Linked DNA regions of Coturnix japonica. The protein of the gene in region 1 interacts with the protein of each later gene in a pairwise test. Links are inferred from orthologs where the notes say so. Each region holds a gene or a part of one and is shown in the gene's direction. Other genes may lie near its edges. The genes, in order: ERLIN1, FA2H and AGR3.

Region 1 (3,753 bases):
AGACTGACCTTTTTATAAAGGGAAGAGTCAATACAGCTTCTGCCAGCTTGAGATTGCCTCAGTTTATTTTGTAAATTAGTGCAGTCCTGTAGGGAAATCAAGGATCTCTGAGGAAGTGAGATCCACCGATATGCTCTAACTTTTATTTTCAGAAGCTACTTACAGTGTCTTTCGAGGGTTAGCATCCATTCTTATGGGATAAAAAAGTTACAACTGTTGATCTGCTCTTGTGAGGCACCATCTGGAGTATTGTGTCCAGGTATGAAGCCCTCAGTACAAGGAAGGCATGGAGCTGTTGGAAAGGGTCCAGAGGAGGGACAGGAAGATGATCAGGGGGCTGGAGCAACTCTCATGTGAAGACAGGTTGAGGGAGCTGGGCTTGTTCAGCCTGGAGCAAAGAAGGCTGTGGGGTGACCTCATTGCAGCCTTTCAATACCTGAAGGGTACCTTATAATCAGGAGGGGAGTAAACTCTTTGAAAGGGCCGATAATAGCAGGACAAGGGGGAAATGGTTTTAAGTTGAAAGAGGGAGGATTTAGGTTGGAGTTGCTAAGTTACTCAGGATGAATTCAGTGAAAACAGTGAATAAAACTCATTAGCAGAAGTTGCTATTGCTGAGAGGAGGAGGAAGCTCTGACTGGCTTTCTACTCATTATTCTTACCTCTCTGTCACCTCCCGCATCTCATCCCATGGTCTCCACCTCTAAGTTGCTTTTTTTCCTTGCTCTTTCAGAACCTGGACTGGAGCTGGCTGAAGTAGGCCCGGGAGCTGTGCTGCTGTGTGCAGACAGCTGGCTGCAGCCCCATTGCCTCTTGGTTTGGACATGCGGGTACCCAGGCTGTGCCCAGCAGTGGATACATGCAACCAGCACTAACTGTGTTACAGACTGCGGCCTCCTTGTGCCTTCATAGCGAGCGCTCTGTGTGGCAGGGCCTGCATGGCCCGGGGCTGCGCCTACTGCTGTGCTGGGGACATGGGCCCTGTGCCGCCCTATCGGGCCCTGTAGCAGAGGCCGAGAGGAGGCTGGGGGTGCGGCGGGTCGTTGTAATGTACAGACGTGTGTATTTTAATTCTAAGCAGATTTTTATCGTTAATAAACGCGGTTCGTAGGCTGTGGTGGGAGTCGTGTGATGTCATCACAGGGCGCCGCTCGGCTCTGGGCCTGTGCCGCACGTGGGAGGGGCGGGCCGGCCGTGGGGCCTGCTGTGTCGGTAGGGCGCGGTGTTGTTCGTTCCGGGCTGTTCCGGCCGCTCGGAGCCCGGCGGGGCGGGCGTAAGGCAGCCGAGGGCCTCCCGGGGCCGGCCCGCCAGGTGAGTGCGGGCTCTGTGTCTGAAGGAGGGGTTGGTGAGGTGGGCACGGGTCAGGCCTGTGCGGCGCCGGGGCTGCGGTGTGAAGGCCGAGAGTTCCCGTCCCCCTTTAGGAAGGGGAAGGAAGGGAGCCGCCTCCCGGCCGCCCTCAGGACTTTGTCTCACAGGTGCTGAGAGAATGACCATGGCCCAGGCCGGAGCGCTGGTGGCGGCCGCTACGGGAGTCCTCGTCTTCTTCCTGTACGCCTCCATCCACAGGGTTGAGGAGGGGCACCTGGCCGTGTACTACAGGTAGCGTTCCTTACTGGAAGGGCATCCGCAGCTCTTTGTGACTGATGAGGCTCGCAGCCCTCTGAGAGCCCTGGGAGGGGATTGTTCCCTGCCCTCAGGTGGGCAGGGTGAGTTATTGCTGCTTTCCCGCACCTATAAGCCACGGTACTGAGCCATTGTAGCCCTCAGTCCTTCTGAGCTCCCTGCTGATTTTCCTACCTCTGTACAAAGTAATTTCCTGCTCGTGACTGGGATCTAAAAGCGTGAAGCCCGTACCCTGGTCCTGCCTGCAGCTTCGTTGCTCTCACCGCAGTGCTGTTGCCCTGTCCCAGGACAGCTGGACACCAGCCTGGCCCAGTGGCTCTGGGAGCTTGCAGCTGCCCTGAACAAACTCTATAGAAAGAGAGAGGGCAGTTGCTGGATGCTTCCTCTTCAAATTTTAATAAAGGAACGAGAAATTCAGCCTCTACAAGCTTTTTTTCTGCCAGCTTTTCTGAATCTTTGGGTCACTTATGCCATTTAATTTCTTTTCTACACTTCACATTCCCCATTTTGGGGCCCTGGGCAACCTGATCTAGTGAATGTGTATGTTTGGTGGCCCTGCTAGGCAGGGGGCTTGGAACTACATGATCCTTGAGGTCCCTTCCAACCTGGGTGATTCTGTGATTCTGTGAATGGGAATCCCCTTGTGCTGTTTTTTTCCCTGTAATTATGAGTGTGTTGAACAATATGGGCCTTTGCAGGATGTTGAGCACTGCTTGCTTGGAGTTCTCCTCTGTTTCCAACTTAGAATGAGTTGTCTGACCACACAAGGGACTGCAGATCATTGCTCTTCAAGTTAAGGGGCTGTGCTGAATGCTCAAGATAGACTTCTCTCTGGCACTGTAGTGAAGGAGGTTACAGGCCTGAAGTGACTCTTTGATGCAGCAAATATGGAGCAGGTGTATTGTGCAATTCACACTAACACAAACATGACTCCTGGCATTTTGATTGTTTTCTCTCAAAGCCTGCATGTAGTATTTTCCATTTGCTTCAATGTTTTTATCTCTACTCTTTAGGGGTGGTGCATTGTTAACTAGTCCAAGTGGACCAGGCTACCACATCATGTTGCCCTTCATCACCACATTCAGATCTGTGCAGGTCAGTGTCTCTTAACTGCTGCCCCGTGCAAAACGTCAGTGTTTGTTGGGCCGTTGGGTGCTTTGCTGCATGAGAACTTGCACAGTTTCATTTGGAGCAGGAGGATGCCTCACTCAAGGGTACGATCTGTCTAGATTCCTAGGAAAGCTTCAGGAAGTAAGAGCAGGGAAATGAGCACGGCTGCCATTGTCTCTCCTAGACTGCAGTTAGGATGAAGACCATTTCCTGCTTGCACCTACAACTGTAGGGAGGGAGGCAGAGGATGCAGTTTGTTTCTCTGTGCCTCTGTTATGGTTTTGAGGGGTTGAACACAGTCTGCCTGAAGAATGGTGTGTGTTTCTGAGCATTGGTTATCTTTATTTCAGACCACTTTGCAGACTGATGAAGTAAAAAATGTGCCTTGTGGGACGAGGTATGTTTTCTCATTGTATTTCTTTTGGTGACGAGTAGATGTATTCTCTTGCATAGTTTACATTAATTGTTTATAGTGCTGTGATGAAGAGGCTGAAAAGTAAAAGCGTAAAATTAGTTCCAAGCATAAATGCATTCATTCCACTTGGAAATCAAGCAGGAGGTGTGGGATTGAGTGCACTTGCTGGAATTCATGTTTTCATTTACACTGATGACCTCCCAATTTACCTTGTTTTCTTCCTTGCATTTCTCTGCTCACCCACTGGTCTGCTTTTGTCTGCCTTTTGCTTTACATATTTCTACACAGAAGCTTGTGGTGAATACAAGTGCTGATTCCAGCAGTGGGCAAAAGTAAATGGCAAACAGAAGCCCTTCCTCCTGGTGGGAGATGACAACAACAGCTCAAGAAATAAGTTTCCCGCAATTCCTGAGGCATTTTCTGGAATCAGCATTTCACCTGACTTAGAGAGAGTATGTCAGAATAAAGCAGCAGCCTACCAGGGGTGGCACTTGCCTGCTTAATAGTTGATTCTTATACTGTTGAAGCAAGCAAAGCAAGAAGGAGAGCAAGCTGAGTTGGCTTGCAGATCCTGTTCTGTTGATCCCTTCACAAGGTATAAAGGG
Region 2 (2,670 bases), on another chromosome or scaffold:
CAGGCGCTGTTGGTGGTAGTTGAGCAGCTGGACAAGACCATCTTGACGGTCTTTATCAAACTGTGATCACCTTGTGGTTCCTCAGCAGCCCCAAACCTTCCTTCCTTCTTGTTGCAGAGCTGCCCCAAGGTGGAGAAGCCTTTGGACGCTGCAGCCCCACGGCTGGATCCGCGCTGCAAGCCAGTGGACGTGGGCACGGTGAGGCCGCGCTCTGCCCTTCGCCCCACGCAGATGGCGCAGCAGTGCCTTTATGGCCCAGGCGCGGCTGCTCTGGGCGGCTCCTATGTGGGCGCTGATGCCTTCCTTTGACAGCAGCTTTGCCCTTAAAGCAGGACATGCTGCTGAGCTGCACCTCACACCCTTGATTTCTTTATTTCTATTCGTTTATGATTTGTTTTTCCCTTTTGGCTGAGCTGTAAGGGATGTCCTGCCGGGCAGGCTGAGCTCCATGTCCCACAGTTTCTCCCTGTCCCACGGTGCCTTTGGGTGCCTCTCACTGAACCACATGGCTGCTGTGCCAAGTGCTCTTTGGGGAGCACCAGCCTTTGTCTTGCCAAGGGACTTTATTTGACCAGCAGGAAACCCTTCATTCCCTATGAATGTTTTGCCACCGATTGCCTTTAAGAAAGGATCTTTCCTTTGGGTGCATCCCAAAATGGCGTTTTGCTCTCACATCCTGTTGGTGTGGGGCATCTGTATTCATTCCCATGCATGCTGGGGTTGTTACCCCGCTGGGTAACCACATCCATCCCTACCCAGACCCCACAAGCAGTGGCACAGAAAGGGGGGGAAGTCTCCGTCCCTGGAGGCGTCCCAGAGCCGTGGGGATGCGGCACTGAGGGATGCAGGCAGTGGGCATAGTGGGGTGGGTTGGACTTGGGGACCTGAGGCCTTTCCCAGCCTTAATGATCCCATGCATCCCCCCAGATTGTGGGTACTGTGGGATGGGAACCCTGAGGGACCTAACGAACAGCCCTGTGCCCCCAGGACCTGGTGGACTGGCGGAAGCCCTTGCTGTGGCAGGTGGGCTACCTGGGGGAGAAGTACGACGAGTGGGTGCACCAGCCTGTGGATCGGCCCATCCGCCTCTTCCACTCGGATTTTGTTGAGGCTCTCTCCAAGACGGCGTGGTGAGCATCCTGGGGTGTGGGGGGGTGGACTTGTAGATGTGTGGGTCTGCCCCCCTGACGGATCCCCTCTCTCTGTAGGTACGTGGTGTTCCTGGTGTGGACCCCCGTGGTGCTCTACCTCAGCTGGGTCAGCTACACAGCCCTGGCGCAGGGCAACACCAGGCTCTTCTCCTCCTTCACCACAGGTACCACCCATCCCCAGCCCTCAGCGCACACCTGCATGAGCATGGGCAGCCCCCAACCCTTGCAGCCCCCAGCATGTCCCCTGCACGAAGCCACCCGTGCTGGCTGAGCTTGCCTTGCTCCCCTGCCTGTCCATAGGGAAGGATGGTGGGTTTGTTCATAGGGAGAGCTGCTGCCCCAGAGGGTGGAGGGCACAGAACAGGACACAGCCCCGAGCTGCCTCCCTTCCTCCATACCCAAAACGAAGCCCTGCTGCTCACCAATGGCTGCGTCCCTCCACGCTGCCACCCACTGCCCTGACACTGGGGATGGCTGAACAAACACGGCTCTCACACCACCGGCCTCGCACAGAGCACGGCTTGTTCACCCAGAACCCCCCCCCTGAATCCACCACTGTGTGCAGCCCCACAGCGGGCAGCGGGCGGCCGGGTGACAGCTTTGTTGTTGGCCCTGCTGCGGGTGCCACCCTGTGCCAGCTGCGCTGCTCGGCCCAAAATCAGAGCAGGTTTTGATGTTCTGGGTTCCCTGCCTCCCGTCCAGCTAGAATAAATCCATCCTTTTGTTCCTCCGCATTCTTTTTCCATCTCTTTGGCATTCCCAAACATGCTTCCTGGCTCCCCATGCAGAGTGATGTGTGGCACACTGGGCACCTCACTGCCCTGAGGGTGTTTTCCTCCCCATTGTCTCAGTGCTTTGGTTTGGGGGAATTTTGTGCGGGAGGATGCAGGGTTTGCTGGCACCAAAAGGAGGAGGTGGTGGAAAAATGCGCTGCGGGGGGGAAAGCACCCGACAGCTGCGTGCTCTGCCAAACAACAACACAGCAGCGACTCTGTTCTGCTGCCACAAGCGCTGCCTGTGTCTGTTGGGTCGCACTGCGTGTTTGGGTGGGAAAAGCTGCTCTGTAGGGACATAGTTACAGCCCCAGCTGGCATCAGCTACTCCACCAAATAGCACAAATTAAGGGGAACCAAACAGAAGTGTGGGGAGAGGTGAGCTTCACCCAGTGGCTGACATCAGGATGGCGATGGATAGAAGCACGTGCATCCCACCAGCCTCGCTGACTGCTGCATGTCTCATTGTGTAGAGTACTCCATCCCCGTGCACAAATACTACTTCCCCTTCATCTTCCTCCTGGGGATGTTCCTGTGGTCCCTGCTAGAGTACCTCATCCATCGCTTTGTCTTCCACATGAAGCCACCCGCTAGTAACTACTATCTCATCACCCTGCATTTCTTGCTGCACGGGCAGCACCACAAGGTGAGCTGCAATGCTTCTGCTCCATTCGGGTATCCTTGCCCTTTGCTAATGCTGGAGGATGAGCTTGGAGCAGCTGGAGTTAAACCATGAGCCCTGAGTG
Region 3 (3,584 bases), on another chromosome or scaffold:
CTTTCCCTCACATGCACTTCCACAACAGATGCCATTCTGTCAGACTGCCTCTCTGCTGCCATCCGTTGCATGGCAACAAAATGTAATAGAACACTGCCAGAAAGGTTTAGCTTCTACTGCCACACCACCAGCATCTGAGGTCTTTGATGTCATGGACCAACACAATAAAATAGGAAGCATTACTTTCAGAGCAGCCTTCATATATGTGTTTATGTGTGTGCATATATACCTTCTGTATTTTTTTTTTCCTCTGGTACAATACTGTTCACAAGTGATGCTATTTCAGCTAAATTTATATGAATATTTTAATAATTAGCTTTAATTTCCCTGCCAGCATGAAACCACAGATAAAAACCTGTCACCTGATGGACAATACGTGCCTCGAATCATGTTCATAGGTATGTACAGTACTTATGAATCTTCTGAAGATGTGATCTCTGAATCTGTGCCAGTGTTGTTCTCCAGAAACATCAAGACAAATCATTTTGCAAAAAGAAAATAGCCCAGAATTTATCTTTACCATGGCAAAAGTATGGAATTTGGCATACCTGAGTTTAGTTCTCATTCTATCACGGGCTTCAGCTCCTGTAAACTTCCTCAGATTATAAATATGTTCTGGAGGGTACCTCATTTGCACTTGGGAGCAAGGTGCTTAAATATCTGTTAGCATCTGGGCATCTGTCAGCCCCTGTTAGCTCCCTGTGCTTTTGCAAGCACAGTTAGGAAATGAAGTGTAGAGAGAGCTGTCAAATATGTGAATGAATGTCTACAGTGTCTACAGTGCAGACATTACCACAGAGCAAGTCAACAGTCAACAGAGTCTAAGAAATTATCTACTACACTGCAGAGTTGACTTCTGAAATATATTAAGTAAATCATGTCCCACAGTCCCTGTTCCTTTTCACCAATTACACAGGCATCAAAGGTAGGTGAGGTGAAGTCCCTGCTTAGAGCAAAGTAGTAAAAGGAGTCAGGTGATTAATTAACAGATAGCTTAGAAGGGGAACCAGTTCAGTAAGATATTTACAACCATTTTCTACACTAATAGAAACAATAAGAATCACAAGACCTTAGTTCTAGTCACCAGGTAAGCCACGATAACTTTGTATTAATTATGCATGACCCTCATTATTTGTGCATTCAGTCAAAATTAGCTCTCCCAGAGTAACCCCAGAACTTGTAAAACAGGATGGTTTTCTTCAAGTATGGAAAAAAAGGTATGTGCAATCAATCTCTTAAAAAAAGCTGTGTAATATAAAACTGAACATTAGTTTTTGTTTAAGATTTCTCCACATAAAAAGCAGTTGGTTGGAACAGAGCGTAACAGCCTTGTAGTTTGTGGTTGGCAAAATCAGAACACCTCAGGAACAGGGCGGTACTATGGGCATCACCCTCGGCTGCTGTGGGAAGCAGCGATTAACACAGTTTCTTTTTCAGACCCATCTCTCACAGTGAGAGCTGATATCACAGGAAGATACTCTAATCGACTGTACACTTATGAACCACAAGACATACCATTCTGTAAGTGCCTATTTTGTGCTGTTGCTCTGCATTTTACACTGTAATCAGCCAGATACACACCATCCCAATCGTCTGTGTTTGAGAATCAGTTAAGATCTCTAAGTAATGAGTAAAGAATGTTTGCCAGCACTTAACAATAATTTATAGTTGTCTAACCTGTTCTAGCAAACACTTAGGCACATCTATTGCTCCGCTGAATTTATTGGGTCTGCTTAGGTGAGGTGAGTTGAAAGATCACAGGTGAGAAATTTCAGGACCAAGATCTGAGCTGTTTGCTGGTGAATGGTGAAAGTCACTATGCACAAAGGAATCCAACTGCGCAATGTTAATAAGCAGTGACGGGAGGGGACCGGGAAAAAGAAATGCTTGTTAACCCATATTCCAAAAAGGAATGTGATTTTTCAGGTTGAACTAGTACTCTGTACCATCCATCTGAGACCCATGCAGTATCTCACAACAAATATGCATGTCACATCTGACTATTTTGCTGAAGCAAAAGGGATTTAAGAATATTCAACTCCTCAAGTTAAATGTTTTGATTTACAACTCTCTTTGCCTTCAGCTTTAGTATCAATGCCAGAATATTCACAATAGGAAGCACTAAAATATATAATCCTGCGTGAATTCCAGTGTGAAGAATGTACTAATCAAAATGTACTGTAAGAATATTTTACGGTTGTTACTCATTTTTGTTTCAGTAATAGAGAACATGAAGAAAGCACTACGCCTCATTCAGACAGAACTGTAATCAACAGTGAAATGATCATAACCTCTAGAAGGTGAAGCTGCACCAAGAATTCCAACACTTTTAAATATTTTATTTAGCCTCTTTCTCTGCTATCTCTTTGAATCCTTACCAACCAGGTAAACCAGATTACATGAGATGTATGATTTGAAGATGAAATATAGGAGGCTACCATTACCATTTGGGAAACAGAGAAGAAATCCACCAAACACTGTGAGGTGGAATTAGCAACCTGAATAATTAGAAGTGATGGTCTAAGATGCAAGCAACCTTGAGCTGTATATTATCAATTGAACTGTGGCTTTATTGTCAGCTACAACTTCCAATCAAGAGCTATAGACAGTACTTGATGTCTATTAACAATGCATGATCTAAGTTATTAGCTACTTCTTACCTCCTATATTTTATTTCATGTAGCTTGTAAATCTCTAGCATGACTCAGTTTTATGCATTTATTTCTCATTAAAGGAATATTGCTGGCAAATCAGACAGGAAGGCTCTTGCTGTAGATTTTAGAATAGCTAATAGAGAAAAAAACCCTCAGATCTAGGGTTTGCTTTCTTCTGTATCATTCTTTAGATATTATTCTTCTTTATCATTCTTCTTTACAGGAAGGGTAGTTAAACACTGGAATAGGCTCCCCAGGGAGGTGGTTGAGTCACCATCCCTGGATGTGTTTAAGAGCTGTTTGGATGCGGTGCTCAGAGATATGATTTAGCAGAGGGTTGTTAGGGTATTATGGTTAGGCTGCAGTTGGACTTAATGACCTTTGATGTCTCTTCCAACCTGAGTAATTCTATGATTCTGAGAGCTGAAAACAGAACATATTTCATGCTGAACATGGGGTTTCTGTGAGGTGATAGTCATCAAATAGCAACTACAGGTTTTGCCATGATAAAAATGCAGTGACGCAAAAGAGATGGAAGGAGATAATTCCAGAACTCCACACCTGAGGCTAGTCATGCTTGTAAAGACCAGTGTGGGAAAAACCAATAGGTTTTTCCTAGCTCTTTACTTTTAAGTGGCACTTTCAAATGGTTATTCCTTCTGTAGTTCCCAATACAAACATCATAGTAGAAGCATACTGAAGGAATCTGCATATACAAACTCTTTTTCTCAAAGTCTCTCAAGATCACCATATGGAAGGGTAAACAGCTATTTTAAGTAAAAAGTCTGAGTCAGTTGAAATAGTTGCCTATACCAATGACATGCTTCTTCACTATAGCAAAGTAGTAAGTCATTCATCTGGAGGAAGAGCAACAACATGATGTTCTGTGCAAGGCACAAACATTTATCTCCATTACCTGCCATTTCCTCT

What was found.
Region 2: the proteins of ERLIN1 (region 1) and FA2H interact in binary tests that used the Homo sapiens proteins (3 or more experiments, as listed by UniProt). The two-hybrid records come from large-scale screens. The link is inferred for Coturnix japonica from reciprocal best matches to the Homo sapiens genes ERLIN1 and FA2H.
Region 3: the proteins of ERLIN1 (region 1) and AGR3 interact in binary tests that used the Homo sapiens proteins (3 or more experiments, as listed by UniProt). The two-hybrid records come from large-scale screens. The link is inferred for Coturnix japonica from reciprocal best matches to the Homo sapiens genes ERLIN1 and AGR3.

What each region holds. Positions count from the first base shown.
Region 1 is NC_029521.1:5,997,746-6,001,498, reverse strand, and holds the start of ERLIN1 (erlin-1), read left to right. Parts: upstream 1-1,182; 5' UTR 1,183-1,311; intron 1,312-1,475; 5' UTR 1,476-1,486; coding exon 1,487-1,599; intron 1,600-2,636; coding exon 2,637-2,718; intron 2,719-3,083; coding exon 3,084-3,130; intron 3,131-3,753. Other genes in the region: CHUK (inhibitor of nuclear factor kappa-B kinase subunit alpha), read left to right, coding at 734-760. UniProt on the Homo sapiens protein: Component of the ERLIN1/ERLIN2 complex which mediates the endoplasmic reticulum-associated degradation (ERAD) of inositol 1,4,5-trisphosphate receptors (IP3Rs).
Region 2 is NC_029526.1:762,492-765,161, forward strand, and holds part of FA2H (fatty acid 2-hydroxylase), read left to right. Parts: intron 1-117; coding exon 118-198; intron 199-987; coding exon 988-1,130; intron 1,131-1,208; coding exon 1,209-1,315; intron 1,316-2,397; coding exon 2,398-2,570; intron 2,571-2,670. UniProt on the Homo sapiens protein: Catalyzes the hydroxylation of free fatty acids at the C-2 position to produce 2-hydroxy fatty acids, which are building blocks of sphingolipids and glycosphingolipids common in neural tissue and epidermis.
Region 3 is NC_029517.1:26,241,228-26,244,811, reverse strand, and holds the end of AGR3 (anterior gradient protein 3), read left to right. Parts: intron 1-334; coding exon 335-398; intron 399-1,437; coding exon 1,438-1,521; intron 1,522-2,219; coding exon 2,220-2,269; 3' UTR 2,270-2,981; downstream 2,982-3,584. UniProt on the Homo sapiens protein: Required for calcium-mediated regulation of ciliary beat frequency and mucociliary clearance in the airway. Might be involved in the regulation of intracellular calcium in tracheal epithelial cells.